3 linked regions of the Macaca mulatta genome follow. The protein of the gene in region 3 binds, or shares a complex with, the protein of the main gene of each other region. Links are inferred from orthologs where the notes say so. Each region holds a gene or a part of one and is shown on either strand. Other genes may lie near its edges. The genes, in order: CCDC8, OBSL1 and CUL7.

What was found.
Region 1: CUL7 (region 3) and CCDC8 share a complex: the UniProt entries of both Homo sapiens proteins name them as parts of the 3M complex. The link is inferred for Macaca mulatta from reciprocal best matches to the Homo sapiens genes CUL7 and CCDC8.
Region 2: CUL7 (region 3) and OBSL1 share a complex: the UniProt entries of both Homo sapiens proteins name them as parts of the 3M complex. The link is inferred for Macaca mulatta from reciprocal best matches to the Homo sapiens genes CUL7 and OBSL1.

The regions. Positions count from the first base shown.
Region 1 is NC_133424.1:58,898,759-58,905,275, reverse strand, and holds the start of CCDC8 (coiled-coil domain-containing protein 8), read left to right. Parts: upstream 1-2,616; 5' UTR 2,617-2,752; coding exon 2,753-4,393; 3' UTR 4,394-4,577; exon of another isoform or gene 4,578-5,004; intron 5,005-6,066; exon of another isoform or gene 6,067-6,312; intron 6,313-6,517. UniProt on the Homo sapiens protein: Core component of the 3M complex, a complex required to regulate microtubule dynamics and genome integrity. It is unclear how the 3M complex regulates microtubules, it could act by controlling the level of a microtubule stabilizer.
Region 2 is NC_133417.1:124,810,166-124,816,851, reverse strand, and holds the start of OBSL1 (obscurin-like protein 1), read left to right. Parts: upstream 1-3,088; 5' UTR 3,089-3,387; coding exon 3,388-4,399; intron 4,400-6,321; coding exon 6,322-6,591; intron 6,592-6,676; coding exon 6,677-6,686. Other genes in the region: INHA (inhibin alpha chain precursor), read right to left, coding at 2,008-2,275. UniProt on the Homo sapiens protein: Core component of the 3M complex, a complex required to regulate microtubule dynamics and genome integrity. It is unclear how the 3M complex regulates microtubules, it could act by controlling the level of a microtubule stabilizer.
Region 3 is NC_133409.1:139,081,244-139,087,163, forward strand, and holds part of CUL7 (cullin-7), read left to right. Parts: intron 1-205; coding exon 206-443; intron 444-521; coding exon 522-627; intron 628-1,652; coding exon 1,653-1,880; intron 1,881-2,158; coding exon 2,159-2,249; intron 2,250-2,352; coding exon 2,353-2,524; intron 2,525-2,669; coding exon 2,670-2,775; intron 2,776-3,093; coding exon 3,094-3,189; intron 3,190-3,377; coding exon 3,378-3,553; intron 3,554-3,896; coding exon 3,897-4,030; intron 4,031-5,440; coding exon 5,441-5,623; intron 5,624-5,888; coding exon 5,889-5,920. UniProt on the Homo sapiens protein: Core component of the 3M and Cul7-RING(FBXW8) complexes, which mediate the ubiquitination and subsequent proteasomal degradation of target proteins. Core component of the 3M complex, a complex required to regulate microtubule dynamics and genome integrity.

The sequences.
Region 1 (6,517 bases), on a different chromosome or scaffold from region 3:
TATTATGGCTGTTAAGGGGTTAAATGGTTCAACGCATTTAGGAGAATGAGATTAGCTGTGTCTTTAGCGTCTGCTACTGTTTATGCTAGTGCCCAAGATCTGGTTCTAATATTAGATCCACCACTCGGAGCTGTGCAACTTCAGACCGGCCTCAGTTTCCCCATCTGTAAAAAGATGATTGATGGCACTGGCCTTATTACCATGTACCTACCTCTCAGAATTCCTAACAAGGAGGCCTATTCAGCATATCTCTTGATGCCTGGTTCCAAAGATGTGGACCAATCCTAGTCGCAAGTACTGTAGCAGGAGGAGCTTCCGACAAAACCCCTCAAACACCGGGTTAAGGAAGGATTTGGCTTTATTCCGACGGGAGCTTCAGCAGACTCGCCTCTCTACTGCCGGGAGCTTCGGTAGACTCGCGTCTCAAGAACCGAGCTTACTAGCATTGGTCCACATCTTGACTGTGTGTGTGTGTGTGTGTTTTTTTTTTGTTTGTTTGTTTGTTTTTTACATGGAGTCTCGCTCTGTTGCCCAGGCTGGAGTGCAGTAGTGCGATCTCGGCTCACTGCAACCTCGGCCTCCCGGGTTCAAGAGATTCTCCTGCCTCAGCTTCCAGAGTAGCTGGGACTACAGGCACATACCACCACACCTGGCTAATTTTTTTGTATTTTTAGTAGAGACGGGGTTTCACCACGGTAGCCAGGATGGTCTTGATCTCCTGACCTCGGAATCCGCCTGCCTTGGCCTCCCAAAGTGCTGGGATTACAGGCGTGAGCCACCATGCCCAGCCATCTTGACTCTTTGGTGGGCACAAAAGGCAGACTATTCTGGATTCAAATCCAAACTCAACCACTCCCCCTGGCTGTGACCTTGAAAGAGTGGTTTTATGTCCTTGGGCATCAGTTTCTTCAGCTGTCTAATGGGAGTTGTACTCATGCTACCAGTCTCCTGCTATAGCAAGGATTTCCTGAGTTCATTCATAGAAAGCACTGGGAATGGTGCCTACTACACAGGAAGCGCCTCATAAACCGTGCCTATCCTTAGCCATCTCATTCTTTTTTCAAAGTTGCAAAATATTTCACTGTAAGATACTACCATAAAATAGAGGCAGTATCTACTCATGAACTTTTAGGCTTTTTTGTTGTTGTTTATTTGTGGGGTTTTTTTGGTTTTGTTTTTTGGCTTTTTTTGTTTGTTTGTTTGTTTTGTTTTTGTTTTTTTGAGACAGAGTCTCCCTCTGTTGCCCAGGCTGGAGTGCAGTGGCGCCATCTCTGCAACCTCCACCTCCCGGGTTCATGCCATTCTCCTGCCTCAGCCTCCCGTGTAGCTGGGACTACACACGCACACCACCACACCCGGCTAATTTTTGTATTTTTTGTAGAGACGAGGGTTTCACCATGTTGGCCAGGCTGGTCTCGAACTCCTGGCCTCCAAGTGTTCCACCCGCCTAGGCCTCCCAAAGTGCTGGGATTACAGGCATGAGCCACCGCGCCTGGCTATGAACATTCAGGTTTATTCATCCACTCAAAAATATGTAGAGCCCTGACCTCCTGCCAAGCGTCACAGGGGGACTGTTGCAATAAGATCCCGGTACCCATTTCTCTACCCACGCGTCTGGGTGTACGGGTACGGATAGTCGCGTGAATTTAAAATGCTAATCTATGGTGCCAGTGGCTCTCAAAAGGTAGAATCCACTGGCACACCCACCTCCAGGACTTGGCTGGAAACTTGTACATTTCGGATGGCAGGTTTGGGAACCGCTGCCTTTCAGCAAAGGTGCTGACGTGGGCCACCGCCGCTTCGCTGGGAAGCAATGGGCCCAGCTAGGCCCCAGGCGCGGCCACACCCCTGTGGGGGAGGGGAAGGAGGCTGCCCCGAAGGGAGTGGACAGCCCCCCTGTCAGTCTTCCAGAGTCTGGGAGTGTAAGATGAGACGGGGGAAGGTGGGCCTCATTCTGGCGGAGGGCAAGGAGGAACTTCCTGCTGGTGCGCTCCACCGTGCAGAGCCCTAAGCGCGCGGGCTGGCAGGCTGCGGCGCGTCAAGGTCAGCCTGGAGCTGGGTGGTGGCCTGCCTGGGGGCGGGGGACCCTACTGGGGGGCCGGGCTGAGGCCTCTCAGCGCCTCCGCCATATTGAATAGCCTCGACTGGACCGTCTTTGTCTGCGAAGTCCTCTCCCAAGTTCCAACCGCGTCCCAGGGGCCTGGGGCAGGAAGAATCGCTGGCAGCCCGCGCGCCCCAACTTGGAGCTGGGACACCACGTTTCCAGCTTGGAGTGGGCCTTGAACCTTGGGACTGACCTCGCCTCCGGCTCACGTAGGCATCCTGGAAATTGATTCTCCCAAGTCCTTGGTGGAGGAGCCGGACTTGGTCAAGACTGGACTTGTTGCAGGAGAAGAGATTGGAGGCGTTGACTCGTCCCTGGCTGGGGAGGTGAGACTCTGCGGTCAGCGTTGCTGGGACTCCCCCCATCCAGTCCCTCCCTCAAGACTAAGGGCTACAGTAGTTTGTTGGGGCTCTTTGCTCCCTCACCCCAGATATCACCCTGGAGATCTTAAAGACTCTCGAGAAAAGCCACGTGGGGGGCTGGTTCCCCTGGGGCTTCCTCCCGTCCCCCGACTGCCTCATTCTTTGGAGCGTCCCCGATGTCTGCAAAGATGTGGATTTGGACGTCCTCGTGGAAGCCCTAAAACCCGTGGGAACATTTAAGAAGATCGGCAAGGTGTTCCGCAAGGAGGAGGACTCCACGGTGGGGATGCTGCAGATCGGGGAGGACGTCGACTATTTGCTCATCCCCCGGGAGGTCAGGCTGGCCGGGGGCGTCTGGAGAGTCATCTCTAAGCCTGCCACCAAGGAAGCAGAATTTCGGGAGCGGCTGACCCAGTTCCTGGAAGAACAGGGCCGCACCCTGGAGGACGTGGCCCGCATCATCGAGAAGAGCACCCCGCACCCGCCCCAGCCCCCCAAAAAGCCCAAGGAGCCCCGAGTGAGGAGGAGAGTGCAGCAGATGGTGACTCCTACGCCCCGGCTGGTCGTGGGCACGTATGACAGCAGCAACGCCAGCGACAGCGAGTTCAGCGACTTCGAGACCTCCAGAGACAAGAGCCGCCAGGGCCCGCGGCGGGGCAAGAAGGTGCGCAAAATGCCCGTCAGCTACCTGGGCAGCAAGTTCCTGGGAAGCGACGTGGAGAGCGAGGATGATGAGGAACTGGTGGAGGCATTTCTCCGGCGACAGGAGAAGCAGCCCCCCGCGCCGCCTGCCCGCCGCCGCGTCAACCTGCCAGTGCCCATGTTTGAGGACAACCTGGGGCCTCAGCTGTCCAAGGCGGACAGGTGGCGGGAGTATGTCAGCCAGGTGTCCTGGGGGAAGCTGAAGCGGAGGGTGAAGGGTTGGGCGCCGAGGGCGGGCCCCGGGGTGGGCGAGGCCCGGCTGGCCTCCATCCCAGTGGAGAGCGCAGGGGTATCCTCCGGCACCAGCCCGGGGGATCCCGGGGATCCTGTGGAAAATGTGGGAGATGTCTGTGCCCCGCAGGCCTCCCCTAGGCGATGGAGGCCCAAGATCAACTGGGCCTCGTTTAGGCGCCGCAGGAAGGAGCAGACAGCGCCCACAGGTCGGGGGGCAGACATCGAGGCTGATCAGGGGGAAGAGGCTGCAGATAATCAGAGGGAAGAGGCCATAGCTGACCAGGAGGAAGAGGCTGCAGGTAATCAGAGGGCAGGGGCCCCAGCTGACCAGGGGGCAGAGGATGCAGATAACCATAGGGAAGAGGCTGCAGATAATCAGAGGGAAGAGGCCATAGCTGACCAGAGGGAAGAGGCTGCAGGTAATCAGAGGGCAGGGGCCCCAGCTGACCAGGGGGCAGAGGCTGCAGATAACCATGGGGAAGAGGCTGCAGATAATCAGAGGGCAGAGGCCCCAGCTGACCATAGGCCACAGGGTGCAGATAACCTGAGGGAAGAGGCTCTAGCTGACCAGGGGTCAGAGGCTACAGATCCTCGAAGGGAAGAGGCCATACATGACCAGAGGGAAAGGGCCCCAGCTGTCCAGGGTGCAGGTAATCAGAGGGCACAGGCCCGGGCTGGCCAAAGGGCAGAGGCTGCACATAATCAGACGGCAGGGGCCCCAGGTATCCAGGAAGCTGAAGCCTCAGCTACCCAAGGGGCCACAGGAACAGCTTCAGGAGCCAGGGCCCGGAAACAGGTCAAGACAGTGAGGTTCCAGACCCCTGGACGCTTTTCGTGGTTTCGCAAGCCCCGGAGAGCCTTCTGGCACACTCCCCGGTTGCCAACCCTGCCCAAGAGAGTCCCCAGGGCAGGCGAGGCCAGGAGCCTCAGGGTGCTGAGGGCCGAGGCCAGAGCAGAAGCTGAACAGGGAGAGCGAGAAGACCAGCTGTGAGGTGAGGGCTAGAGACAGCCCACGGGCCCTCCCTACAAGCGTGGGAGAGAAAGTTGCTCTTTCTGCCTCTGAACTTGAAAGTGGAGTTGGAGTGCTGCCCACATCTCCACCTTACAACCCTCTTTATTCTCTTGTTAAAGTTTTGTCTCATGCGTTGATTTTTAAAAAATTTTTTAGAGACAGGGTCTCACTCTGTTGCCCAGGCTGGAGTGCAGTGGCATGATCACTGCAGCCTCAAACTTCTGGCCTCAAGTGATCCTCCTGCCTCGGCCTCCCAAAGTGCTGGGATGACAGGTGTGAGCCACCACACGTACCACCTGATAAAATATATATATATATATACATATATACATATATATAGTGATTCCTTGTAGCAACCCAAAAAATGTAAAGAAAGAATTCGATACAAGGGGGTTCTGTCACCTATAGTTTTAATTTCCTCAAATGCAACTCAAGGTGCTCAGCTTGATAAAAGGAGAGCGGGAGGGCAGGGGAGAAATTGCCTGCTTTTCCTGTCCCTTTTTTGCCTGCACACTTAACGTGGACTGCCTCCTTGGACTTAAAAAGAGGACTTGAGCCAACATGCAAATAAAAAAACATTTATGAACTGGTTTCTTAGCTTTGGACTTGGCAACTGACGAATGCTCTGGGGGTGACCCGGCCCTTCCTGTCCGTTCTACTCCCATCCTTGAAGATGGAGACACCTGTGTTTATGTTGTCACTTCGCTTGCCATCCTCATGCCCCTGGACTCTGCTGCTTTGGAGGGGACAGGGCCCTTGGTTTGCATACCTCTCCCGATCTTGGTTGTAAGGTACAGTAAAAGCATCTGAAAAATGCGTTCAAAACACAGATTCTGGGGCCCTCAGCATCAGAGATGTGGATTTGCTAGCGGTGCCTGTGTGGCTCTGAATTCTGTTTGCATCAAGCTTCCAAACATCTGGGCAATTCGGCCATTGGACACATTGAAAACTCATTGCAATAAGAAAAGGCCTAAAAGAGGGGCTGTGGTTGGCCGGACGTGGTGGCTCACACCTGTAATCCCAGCACTTAGGGAGGCCGAGGCGGGTGGATACAAGGTCAAGAGATCAAGACCATCCTGGCCAACATGGTGAAACCCTGTCTCTACTAAAAATACAAAAATTAGCCTGGCCTGGTGGTGCACGCCTGTAGTCCCAGCTACTCGGGAGGCTGAGGCAGGAGAATCTCTTGAACCCGGAAGGTGGAGGTTGCGGTGAGCCGAGATCGCACCATTGCACTCCAGCCTAGTGACAGAGTGAGACTCTGTCTCAAAAAAAAAAAAAAAAAAAAAAGGCTGTGTGTATTGTGCATTAATTGCTTGTGCATTAATTGCTGCTGCTGGTTCTTTTTTTTTGAGATGGAGTCTCTGTCACTAGGCTGGAGTATGGTGGCGCGATCTCGGTTCATTGCAACCTCCGCCTCCCGGGTTCAAGTGATTCTCCTCCCTCAGCCTCCCGAGTAGCTGGGACTACAGGCGTGTGCCACCACACCTGGTTAATTTTTGTATTTTTAGTAGAGATGGGGTTTCACCATGTTGGCCAAGCCTGTCTTGAACTCCTAACCTCAACTGATCCGCCCACTTCGGCTTCCCAAAGTGCTGGGATTACAGGCATGAGCCACTGCGCCCAGCCAACTGCTTCCTATGATTGGGAAGAAATTGGGTTGCTAAGGCCCTGTGGAGGTTGGGAGGAAGCTGGGGGCCTCTCTCTGTATTGCCTTGTGTCCCCACAACCCCCAGCAGTGAAAAACAGCAAATGACCAGACTCGAGCCTTGCTGAGGGCAGGAGAAAAGGGAGTTCATGGAGGTCCAGGGGCCAGTCTGTCGTCCTAACTGGTTGCAGGCCTGGCCTAAGTTTCTTACTTTTTTTCTCTGGAAAGTAAAGAATTGTATCCCACCACCCTCCTTTTGTCTTTCTCTCTTCCACGCTCCTCCCTCCCTCCCTTCCTTCCCCTCCTTCCCCTCCTTCCCCTCCGCTCCCTCCCTCCCTCCCTCCCTTCCTTTGTCTTTCTCTTTCTCTTTCTTTCTCCCTACCTCCCTTCCTCCCTTCATTCCAATCTTCCTTCCTTCCTTCCTTCCTTCCTTCCTTCCTTCCTTCCTTCCTTCC
Region 2 (6,686 bases), on a different chromosome or scaffold from region 3:
CTTCAGCAGAAGGGATGTGGCCGCCAGTCATGAGCCAATGATAGGCTGCACTCTGCTCCATGCCCTCCAGGATGTGGGGACTCTCCTGAGTTTGGGGAGAGCTTCTGTAGGCTCCCCATTTTTAAATTTCATCATGAAAGGACTTTAAAAAACAGAAGACATTGCCAACTTCTCTCTGAAGTGGTTTTACCAATTAACATGCCCATCAGCAGTGTGTAAGAGGCCCTGTCTCTCTCCACTTCACCAGCACTAAGAATTGGTATTAGACTTCAATGCTTACTCACCAGACGGTGTTAAACAGTATCCTGAGTGGTGTCTACATGGATGGTTGTTATGTTACTGTTTTTTTTTTTTTCTTTTTTTTTGAGAGAGAGTCTTACTCTGTCACCCAGGCTGGAGTGCAGTGGCATGATCACGGCTTACTGCAGCCTCTACCTCCTGGGCTCAAGCAATCCTCCCACCTCAGCCTCCTAAGAGACCACAGGCGTGTGCCACCACACCCAGCTAACTTTTGTGTTTTTTGTAGAGACAGGATCTCACTATGTTGCCCAGGCTGATCTCAAACTCCTGAGCTCAAGCAATCTGCCTGCCTTCACCTTCCAAAGTGCTGGGATTATAGGTGTGAGCTATCACACCCAGCCGTATTACTTTTTTTATTTTTTTATTTTTTTTGAGATGGAGTCTAGCTCTGTGGCCCAGGCTGGAGTGCAGTGGCGCCATCTCGGCTCACTGCAACCTCCGCCTCCCGCTCTGCCTCCCGGGTTCAAGCAATTCTCCTGCCTCAGCCTCGCGAGTAGCTGGTGCCACCATGCCTGGCTCATTTTCTGTATTTTTAGTAGAGACGGGGTTTCACCATGTTAGCCAGGATAGTCTCGATCTCCTGACCTTGTGATCCTCCTGCCTTGGCCTCCCAAAGTGCTGGGATTACAGGTGTGAGCCACCGCGCCCGGCCCATATTACTCTTTATATCTTTGGCATGTCAGGAATATTATATAATAAATTCTTTAAAATAATTCCATTTTTAAAAGACAAGTTTACACCAAAAAAAAAAAAAAAAAAAAGAAGAAGGAGGAGGGAAAGGCGAGTGGGAAGGAAGAAAATGGAGAACAAGGAGGAGGGGGAAGAGGAGGAGGGCTGTAACTCAGAACAGAGGGGAGTCCTTTCAAGAATGTGTAGTTGGCATCCTCACACTGACACACTCATAGACTATACTAATCATCCTGGAGCAGCACCCGCTGATGGACTGGCAAGTGGAACTATACTGTTACATGGCTTCTTTCATTATCTAGTCACAATTGGTCCATTTTGCAGGTACGGAAATTGAGGCTTAGAGAGGTGAAATGACGTTCAACGACTAAGTGGCCAGACTGGAATTTTGCCTGATCCCAAAGCCATCCTTCTCCCCACTGTGCTGCTAACGGACCAAAGTGAGGGAGGCAGGGGTCCTCTCTTAAGAGAAAGGTGGACCAGATGACAAGAAAGCCCACCCGGAGGAGGGCTTATCCATCCAGTCAGTGAAACAAGGGGACGCACATATGTCGAGACAGGAACTCAAGAGAAGATAGACTAGTTTTCCAGAAAAGTTTCCCAACTAATCTTTTGCCTGTATCTCTGATAGCTTCTCAGTCTCAGCTACCTGGGAGTAAAGAAACAGGGTCTGGAGCAGCGAGCAGAGGCAGAGATAGGAGGAAAGGTGGCAGGAAGGGGCCCAAGCCCAGACATCTCCATCTCTAGAGACCCCTGGTCTCCCAGCGCATACCTCCCAAATGCCTCCCACCTGCCATGCACTCTAGGTACAGCCTCTCACTTAATCCTGAGAGGTTGGCGTTATCACGCATTTTACAGATTGGGAGACAAGAGGCATAAGGAGGTTTAATAACTGGCCTATTGTTGCAAAGCCACTGAGTGGTAGGGCTGGGATTCAAACCCAGGTCCACCTGGCCCGCAAACCCATGCTGTGCCTTGCTGCTTCTCAAAGTCACCCTGCCAGTTCCCCCACCTCGTTACCTGTGGCTGGGAAAAGGATGGCCTGGGAGACATCCTCCTCCTCCGTGGGCTCAGAGCCCCTGCGTGTGAAGCCCCCCAGGGCATGTCTTCGGAGCAGCCGCCTGACTCCAGGGTCCCCACCTTCCCTGGTCACCACGGGGGACCCCAAGGCATCCAGGAACAGGGCCCTCACCTTGGCCAGAACAAGCTCCCGGGCCAGCTCCGGCCCTTGGCAGCTGTGACCACCCTGTGGGGCCAGCAGCAAGAAGAGCAGTAGGGGCAGCACCATAGCTCACCTGGCCCTGCTAGCGGGGAACCCACACCCTCCCCCGTGCCCTTTCTGCCAGGGTCTGCCCAGGGCAGCTCCACTCTCCCCTCCCCATCCCACACCCACCCTCTTCTACCCTTCTCACCCAGTCTTCTCCAGTCCTTTCCACGCCCCACAGTCCGAGTTGCCCCTGCCCGTGGCATTGAAACCTCCTATCTCTGACGCAGATGTCTGTGGCCATGAGCCTTATCTCCCACTCCCGCCAGCGATGTTGGGGAGGGACTGGGGAGGATTTCGCCCCAAGCGACCTGACTCATACAAGCAAACATTACAACCCCTTCTCCTACACACACACACACACACACACACATACACTCTCACACACACACACACGCACTCTCTCACACACACACACACATCCAGAGGTTTACATCAGGTGGGACAGGAGCCTGGGAGCTGCAGCCGGCCAGCCCCGGAAAGTGTCATTTGTCAGGGAGACACAGTGCACCACCCCTCAGACCTTCTGGGGCCCCTTTCAATAAGCAGCTGCTGGGCCGGCCAGCCCTTGGGGGAAGGGCTGGAGCCGGGGCTAGAACCGGGGCTAGGGCCGGGGGCAGGTGGTCCTGCCTGCTCTATACTTAGCCCAGTGGAGCCAGTCTGGGCTCTTGTCCTCCAGCTGTGTCATCAGAGAATATTTTTGGGATTGGCAGCTGCAGGCGCCTCTGCCACTCAGGCCCAAGCCTGGCGGGAGGCTAGGGACCTGGCGGCTGGAGGTGGGAGGGAGGAGGGGGAAGAGGCCCAAGCTGTGGGAGGGGGCTGGGAAGAGAGGCTCCCAAGAGCAGGAAGCCAGGCAGCGGGCAGGAGAGGCTGCGGGGCCCCTCGCTGGAGAGGCAAACAGGAAGGACTGCCCCCTGAGCGCCAGGCTTCGGCCCGGGAATCGCCGCCGCCGCCGCCGCAGAGCTGCAGCTTGGGGCCGAGGGTAAGGAGGCGAGCCGGGAGCAGGAGGCCCGGGAGAGCTTCGCGGGTACCCGCGCCTGGTCCGCAGCCGCGCCCCGGCCCCGCCGCCCCTGGCCTCGGCTCGCCCTCGGCCCACCCTCCCCGTTGGCCGCTGCAGGCGGTCTGAGACAGCTGCGATGAAGGCGAGCTCAGGGGACCAGGGGAGCCCCCCGTGCTTCCTGCGCTTCCCGCGGCCGGTGCGGGTGGTAAGTGGCGCCGAGGCGGAACTCAAGTGCGTGGTCCTGGGGGAGCCGCCACCGGTAGTGGTGTGGGAGAAGGGCGGGCAGCAGCTGGCGGCCTCGGAACGCCTGAGTTTCCTGGCGGACGGCGCGGAGCACGGCCTGCTGCTGAGCACCGCACTGCCTACCGACGCCGGGGTCTACGTGTGCCGCGCCCGCAACGCGGCGGGCGAGGCCTACGCGGCGGCCGCTGTCACCGTGCTGGAGCCACCGGCCTCCGAGCCCGAGCCGCAGCCCGCCGAGCGCCCGCTGCCACCGCCGGGGTCCGGGGAGGGCGCCCCGGTCTTCCTCACGGGGCCCCGATCCCAGTGGGTGCTAAGGGGGGTGGAGGTGGTGCTGACGTGCCGGGCGGGGGGCCTCCCTGAGCCCACGCTGTACTGGGAGAAGGACGGGATGGCCCTGGACGAAGTGTGGGACAGCAGCCACTTCGCGCTCGAGCCCGGCCGCGCCGAGGAGGGCCCCGGCGCGAGCCTGGCGCTGCGCATCCTGGCAGCTCGGCTGCCGGACTCCGGCGTCTACGTGTGCCACGCCCGCAACGCGCACGGCCACGCGCAGGCGGGGGCGCTGCTCCAGGTGCACCAGCCCCCTGAGAGCCCGCCCTCGGACCCCGACGAGGCCCCCGCGCCCGTGGTGGAGCCGCTCAAGTGCGCTCCTAAGACTTTCTGGGTAAATGAGGGCAAGCACGCCAAGTTCCGCTGCTACGTGATGGGCAAGCCCGAGCCCGAGATCGAATGGCACTGGGAGGGCCGCCCGCTGCTCCCGGACCGCCGCCGCCTCATGTACCGCGACCGCGACGGCGGCTTCGTGCTCAAGGTGCTCTACTGCCAGGCCAAGGACCGTGGGCTCTACGTCTGCGCCGCGCGCAACTCGGCAGGCCAGACGCTCAGCGCGGTGCAGCTGCACGTGAAAGGTACGGCGGCGCCCGGGGCCTGGGGAGGGGCCTCTCGTGTCCTCCGAGGCCCTCCGAACACCAGCCCTCCTCGGTGCGCAGCACTGCCCCGAAGACTGGAGGAGAGGAGGTCCGCGGCAATATTAAAATATCAAACCCGCCCGCCTCCCGCTCTCCAGGGATTCGGATTTACTAGGTCTCCCGGGTACTCAGGAACTTCTTAGCAAACTCCCCAAAAGATTCCGAGGCAGATGGTGGAACACCACTAAGGAGTGATTGATGTACAAACCTGGAGGGCGGTAGAACTCTTCTCCCCTAGTGGTTTTCAACGTCTTTGTTATTTTACTTCTCCTTCCCCAACTGAATTCACAACCAGAGTCCCAATATATGAGACAGATAAAGGAGTATTTTGTGGGCCTAAATTGCTAAGTCTGCTTGTATAACAGGTACTTCTAAAGCATCAGTGAGAATAAGGAGGCTATTTTATTGAATACAGGCATTTGAAGTGAAGACTGCATTCATGAGTCCAGGCTCTGAACCCTGTGGGAACAGCCTGGGTGCGTCTGTCACCTTGAGAAACAAGTGATTCAGTAGAAAGCTAGACAAGGGAGGACAAATGTCCTGTGTGTTTTTACTGTTCTTTGATTAAACTACTCCCCACGTTTGCAAGAAGAGGAAGGTGAAGGAGAGAAGGTTTATATTTCAATGTTGAATCACCAACAATATCCAATAAACGCTTACATTCTCATAAACAGAAAATTCAAAGGGAAAAAAAAAAGCACACCCCAAACTCACCATTAGGTAACGCTCCCCATAATAGGATTTCATCACAATGCAAAGGATTATACCTTCACTAGTTATTGTCCAGATTTTTCTCTTGGAGGAAAAAAAAGTTGGTAAATTCTCCTGAGTCCTGCCTGGCACGCAGTCAAGGATGTGGCCCCTGGGCTGCGGTGGTGGCCTCGCTGGTACAGTTCAATGCACACAGATTTGTCAGGCTGGTGCTGATCTGGACCTCCATCAGGAAAGAAAAGCCCCGAGGGAAGGCTGGAGGAGCTTCCCAGAGTTGGATACACACACACTGAAACTTGCTTCTCCAGCAGCCTGAGTTAATTCTCTAGTTTCTAACATCCTGTTTTCTTTTCTTTCTTTCTTTCTTTTTTTTTTTGAAATACACTTTTGAAAGGGGTTAAAATAGCCAGGCGAGGTGGCTCACTCCTGTAATCTCACCACTTTGGGAGGCTGAGGCAGGAGGATCACCTGAGGTCAGGAGTTCGAGAACAACCTGGCCAACATGGCGAAACCCTTTTTCTACTAAAAATACAAAATAATTAGCTGGGCGTGGTGGCACGTGCCTGTAATCCCAGCTACTTGAGAGGCTGAGGCACCAGAATTGCTTGAACCAGGGAGGTAGAGGTTGCAGTGAGCCAAGATTGCACCACTACACTCCAGCCAGGGCAAGAGAGCGAGACTCCATCTCAAAAAAAAAAAAAAAAAAAGAAAAGAAGAAAAAAAGAAAAGCGTTAAAATATTTTAAATTCTACTCAGACCCTTGTGGAATATGTGAAATGCCTGGGGCGGGGGGGCCTAGGGAACGATTTGAAAATCACCAGTCTAGGGCCTAGAGGATCCCAGAGAACAGTTTGGAAATCATCAATCTGATCCAACCCCTTTTGTCCCTTTCCCCATTTTACAAGTAAGGAGACTGAGGCCCAGAAGCGTTGAAATGGACTTGCTCAAGGTGATGTGGCTAGTGTCAGGGCTGGATGAGAACTTAGGTCATCTTAGGAACCACCACTTCCCTTCTGGTAGTTTTCTGTGATTCCACAGTGCCCGCTGGCTCTGCATAAAGAGCACATGGCATGAGCTAATGCGATTTGAGGCGTCCTACACCTAGTCTGGCCCTTCTCCAGAGCCCTCTCTTGTCTCTCCCCTCTCCACAGAGCCCCGCCTCCGGTTCACACGGCCCCTGCAGGATGTGGAGGGCCGTGAGCACGGGATTGCCGTGCTGGAGTGTAAAGTACCCAACTCCCGCATCCCCACGGCCTGGTTCCGTGAGGACCAGCGGCTGCTGCCCTGCCGCAAGTATGAGCAGATCGAAGAGGGCACTGTCCGGCGTCTCATCATCCACAGGCTGAAGGCAGACGATGATGGTGTCTACCTGTGCGAGATGCGGGGCCGGGTGCGCACCGTGGCCAACGTCACAGTCAAAGGTCAGCTGGTTCATGGGGAAGAGGCTGAGGCGGAGGCAGGCAGGTGCTCAGATTCCAGGCTGATGGATTCCCGTCGGCATCTCAGGGCCCATCCT
Region 3 (5,920 bases):
GAGGCGGAGCTTGCAGTGAGCTGAGATCCGGTCACTGCACTCCAGCCTGGGCGACAGAGCCAGACTCTGTCTCAAAAAAAAAAAAAAAAAAATTTAAAACATTTTTTAGGAGAAATTAGAGAAAAAGATTGAGAGTTATGAATCTATTTCTGAGCCTTCACATTACTAACAATGGCCAATTCCTGTGACTCTCCTCTTCCTGTAGCAAAAGAACCCCCATCTCAGAGTCCCAACACTCCCCTGCAGCATCTCGTGGAGGATTATGGTCCAGCTGGGAAAATCCTCCTGGATCTAGAGCAAGCCCTCAGCTCGGAGGGGACGCAGGAGAACAAGGTCAAGCCACTCCTGCTGCAGCTGCAGCGGCAGCCCCAGCCCTTCCTGGCACTGATGCAGAGCCTGGACACTCCAGAGACTAACAGGGCCCTGCACCTGACTGTGCTGAGGTAAGACCGTGGTGACAGGTGGGATCTCTGAGGGCAAAGGGGGTCTATGAGGCTGGCTGCACATTTCTCTGCCCCCAGAATCCTGAAGCAGCTGGTAGACTTCCCTGAGGCACTGCTGCTCCCCTGGCACGAGGCCGTGGATGCCTGCATGGCCTGCCTGCGGTCCCCAAACACTGATCGAGAGGTACCCCTGCCTTGCTCTGGGGAGAGGCTGGGGGAGAGGATAAAGGCAGCCACTGGCAAGGCACACCCACTGGGCAAGGCTCTGGAGGGTGTGATAGAGCCTTTGGGCTCTTAGTTTTGAGTTTTGCTTTTAAAATTGAATTTTATTTTTTTTAAATAGGTAATACATTCACATGGTTCACAAATCAAAACGCTCTAACAAGGTATACACTGAGAATTCTTGCTCTCACCCAAATCCCTGTTCTCCCAGTGTCCCCCACACACCCCTTACTGGTAATTACTTGTATTAATTTATGTATCATTCCCATGTTCCCTTATGCAAATATAAGCAAACCCAAATGTGTGATCTTGCCACTCTCTTTTTTACACAAAAGGATATGGAGATATTATTACATAGAACATTAAGAGCTTCAGTAGCTCCATTTTTGGCTGGTCCTGTGGGAGAAAGGGGGATGAAGGATGCAGAGGGCCCATCACATACCAGAGTCCCCTGCAAAAGCTACAGAGAAGTCCTGGGCACAGAAGGCTTCAGAAGGGCTCAGAGAACTAGGGTCATGGTGACAGTAGGTGTTTGCAGTGTGGCTGTATTTTTGGCTGTTATGTAGAATTTACTTTCTAAGGCAGGCTCATTGGGTATACGCACAAACCCAGTCCCTGTCAGTCCCTTCCCAGCCATCCAGGTGTCTGTGCCTGAACATCTCAAAATACAGCCCTACAACTGTTTTTTGGGACAGTGGGGCCTGGATGAAAGAACCCAGGGATGCTCTCTGCAGTTTTTGTCAATATAATCAGCAGCCTAGAACCCTAGAGTAGCAGGGCATCTTGTGCCCTTTTCCATTTTGGTTTGTCTTCAGTTCTCTAACCACCTGGCTCTTGTGTCTCCCCATCCCTGTCTTTTCATTTCCTCACTGCCTTGCTCACTGTAGCACCCCCAGCACCCAGTACACAGTGGGTACCTGCTACTGCAGATGCCCTTGCAGCCCTCGCCCTGTCTTCATTCATCTCCTCCTTTATGTCCCCACCCAGGTGCTCCAGGAACTGATTTTCTTCCTGCACCGCCTGACCTCAGTGAGCAGGGACTATGCCGTGGTGCTGAATCAGCTGGGAGCAAGAGACGCCATCTCCAAGGCCCTGGAAAAGCACCTGGGAAAGCTGGAGCTGGCTCAGGAGCTGCGGGACATGGTGTTCAAGTGTGAGAAGCATGCCCACCTCTACCGCAAACTCATCACCAACATCCTGGGAGGCTGCATCCAGGTCAGGAGGAAGGGGAGCTTGTGGGCTCAGAGCAGCATCAGAATATGAAACCCAAGCAGTGGCGGGTAAGGGCTGTGTTCCCATGGCTGGGAACAACAGGTGACTCTAGTGACCCTGGGACATTTGTTTCCCTGCCCCTCTTCCCTGTCTGGGCCTGCTCTGCTGGTGCTGTAGAGGAAGTCCCACTGCTGCTTGGTCTCTCCTTCATCCATGTTTCCATGTGTCTCTCCGTGTTCCTCCTGCCCCCGTGCCCCTTCTCTCTGATGTTCTGGCCGCAGATGGTGCTGGGCCAGATTGAAGACCACAGACGAACCCACCGGTCCATCAACATCCCTTTCTTTGATGTGTTCCTCAGATACTTATGCCAGGGTTCGTGCCTGTTGCCCTGTTGCTCTACCTCTCCATACCTATGTTTGTTTCCTCTTTACACCCTACCTGGCTGTGACCACCACCCATTCCCACTTACCCCCAGGCTCCAGTGTGGAAGTGAAGGAGGACAAGTGCTGGGAGAAGGTGGAGGTGTCCTCCAACCCACACCGGGCCAGCAAGCTGACGGACCACAACCCCAAGACCTACTGGGAGTCCAACGGCAGCGCCGGCTCCCACTACATCACCCTGCACATGCACCAGGGCGTCCTCATCAGGTAACGCTCCCACGCATGTGCTTTGCCACACACCTACGCTTTCCTGTGACGCCCCTGTGTTTGTTTTGGGGGATGCACCACCCCCCTGGACTTGGCCATGGGCCCTGTCTGCAAGTTCCAAATGGTTTTTCCTCCCCACTCCCAGGCAACTGACTCTGCTTGTGGCTAGCGAGGACTCAAGCTACATGCCGGCCCGAGTGGTGGTGTGTGGGGGTGATAGCGCTAGCTCTCTTCACACGGAACTCAACTCGGTAGGGCCCCAGGGCCATTAGCCATTACCCCACCCCTCACAGGATCTGCCCTCCTGCTTCGATCTGGCCCTATGCTACTTTTTTCTACTCCCACCTGTCTTAAGCCCCACAGAAAGTAGTGTCCTTTATCCCTGTGCTTGTGCCACCAGGCCCCAAACAGTGAGGGTGGACAATGAGGATAGCTTTCTCAGGACCCTACACATCCCAGGGCTGGGGAAGGGAAGGAAACAAGTGAGGGGACTGGAGCCTAGAGCCAACTTGGCTCAGCACTCCCATCTGCACGTGTAGAAGTGACAGCCTTCTCTGCCCCCCTACCAGGTGAATGTGATGCCCTCTGCCAGCCGGGTGATCCTCCTGGAGAACCTGACCCGCTTCTGGCCCATCATCCAGATCCGCATAAAGCGCTGCCAGCAGGTGGGGCTAGGGATGTGGGGTGTGGCCCTGGGTAGGGGGCTCTGAATCCCATAAACGGGCAGATCTTGAGCCAGAAGACCAGCCTGGGTCTCAAGCAGCTCCAGGTGTGAGGCTCGAGGGCATAGCTGACCCCAGCCCATCCCAAGGAGCATGTGGGGCGAGTGAAGATAGTCCTGTGTGTGTTTCAGGGTGGCATTGATACGCGCATTCGGGGGTTAGAGATCCTAGGCCCCAAGCCCACGTTCTGGCCAGTGTTCCGGGAGCAACTCTGTCGTCACACACGCCTCTTCTACATGGTTCGGGCGCAGGCCTGGAGCCAGGACATGGCAGAGGACCGCAGGAGCCTCCTGCACCTGAGTTCTAGGTGTGTGAGAGTGTGCGTGTATGCCTGTGTCTGTGGGAAAGGTAAGGCTATTGCAAATAGCTGGCAGGCAGGGGTCCATTTAAGCCATAAGATGGAGGTTTAATATGCGTGGGGAGGGGGCTGGAGTGTTCTGAGCTGTGGGAGGGGAAGAAAGGATAAAGAGAAGAAATTTCTCCAGTGGGCTGGGAATAGGATATACTAGTTAGCACAGGGCAGTTTTGAAGTACCAGGGGGGCCTTCAGTTTGGGTGCTGGAGGTTAACTGGCAGTCTTAGGCAGGGTGGACACTGAGATAACACATACCTCAAGCCTCTGACACCTTCCTCCTCCATTCTCACCCCCAGACTGAACGGGGCCCTGCGCCAGGAGCAGAATTTTGCTGACCGCTTCCTCCCTGACGACGAGGCTGCCCAAGCTCTGGGCAAGACCTGCTGGGAGGCCCTGGTCAGCCCCGTGGTGCAGAACATCACCTCCCCTGGTAACCATCCTAACACCTGGACCCATTACTATCTCAGGGCTTGGCTCCACTAATTAGCTCCTTCTTGCTCTACCCTAGAACCACCTGGATTATGTTCTGGCCCTTTTGGCACCTGCATTTGTAATCCCAGTGCCGTCTTCTCATAGCCCAGGGGCTGCCCCCTTTCCTATGTCTCTCAAGTATCAGCTGACACCATAAGTGCAGAAGGTACCTTGTTACCCACTCCCTTATCATTCTTTTCATATCTTTTTTTTTTTGAGACAGAGTTTCGCTCTTGTTACCCAGGCTACAGTGCAATGGCGCGATCTCAGCTCACCGCAACCTCTGCCTCCCGGGTTCAAGCAATTCTCTTGCCTCAGCCTCCTGAGTAGCTGGGATTACAGGCATGTGCCACCATGCCTGGCTTATTTTATTTTATTTTATTTTATTTTTTTGAGACAGTGTTTCGCTCTTATTGCCTAGGCTGGAGTGCAATGGCGCAATCTCAGCTCACTGCAACCTCCGCCTCCAGGGTTAAGCAGTTCTCCTGCATCAGCCTCCCAAATAGCTGGGATTACAGGCATGGGCCACCATGCCCGGCTAATTTTGGATTTTTAGTAGAGATGGGGTTTCTCCATGTTGGTCAGGCTGGTCTTGAACCCCAACCTCAGGTGATCCACCTGCCTCAGTCTCACAAAGTGCTAGGATTACAGGCGTGAGCCACCGCGCCCGACCCACACCTAGCTGATTTTATATTTTTTAGTAGAGATGGAGTTTCTCCATGTTGTGAGGCTGATCTCGGAAACTCCTGACCTCAGGTGATCCGCCCACCTCAGCCTCCCAAAGTGCTGGGATTATAGGCATGTGCCACCGCGCCTGGCCTTTTCTATTTTTTTTAATGTTTATTATTTTTATTTATTATTATTATTTTTTTGAGATGGAGTCTCACTCTATCGCCCAGGCTGGAGTGCAGTGGTGTGATCTCGGCTCACTGCAAACTCCTCCTCCCAGGTTCATGCCATTCTCTGGCCTCAGCCTCCCAAGTAGCTGGGATTACAGGCACCCGCCACCACGTCTGGCTTATTTTTGTATTTTTAGTAGAGACGGGGTTTCACCGTGTTAGCCAGGATGGTCTCAATCTCCTGACCTTATGATCTGCCCACGTCGGCCTCCCAAAGTACTGGGATTACAGGTGTAAGCCACTGTGCCCAGCTTGTTTATTTATTATTTTTAAAGATGACCAGGCCGGGCTCAAACTCCTCTCATTTCAACCTCCCAAAGTGCTGGGATTATAGGCATAAACCACCCTACCTGGCCCCTCCCTTGTATCATTTCGTCCAGTTGCTCTATCTCTACACTCCTGTTCAGCCCAACCTCTCCCACTTCCCTGCAGACATGGCTGTGCCTTGGTTTGTTTTTCTCACCCTCTAGATGAGGATGGCGTTAGCCCCCTGGGTTGGCTGCTGGAGCAGTACCTGGAGTGTCAGGAAGCTGTCTTCAACCCCCAGAGCCGCGGCCCAGCTTTCTTCTCGCGGGTGCGCCGTCTCACTCACCTGCTGGTGCATGTCGAGCCCTGCGAGGCACCCCCTCCTGTGGCGGCCACTCCTCGGCCCAGTGAGTAGTGGGGATTCAGGTGGGGAGCTTCTAGTCAGGAGCATTTTCCTGGGCCCCACGTGTACACCATAGACTTCTGTCCATCCCCATCCTTCCCCTCCTGTTGGCTCAGCCTGTTCATCTTCCAGGTTTGTGTCACCTCCATCCATGAACATCACTTTGGGTGGCAGCATGTCAGGAAAGGCCTCAGGGCACCCCCTTGGATAGCGACTGGAGTGGAGGGGCTGCCCACTCCTTGCCTCTGCCACTTTCTTGATCTCCACAGAGGGCAGAAACAGAAGCCACGACTGGAGCTCC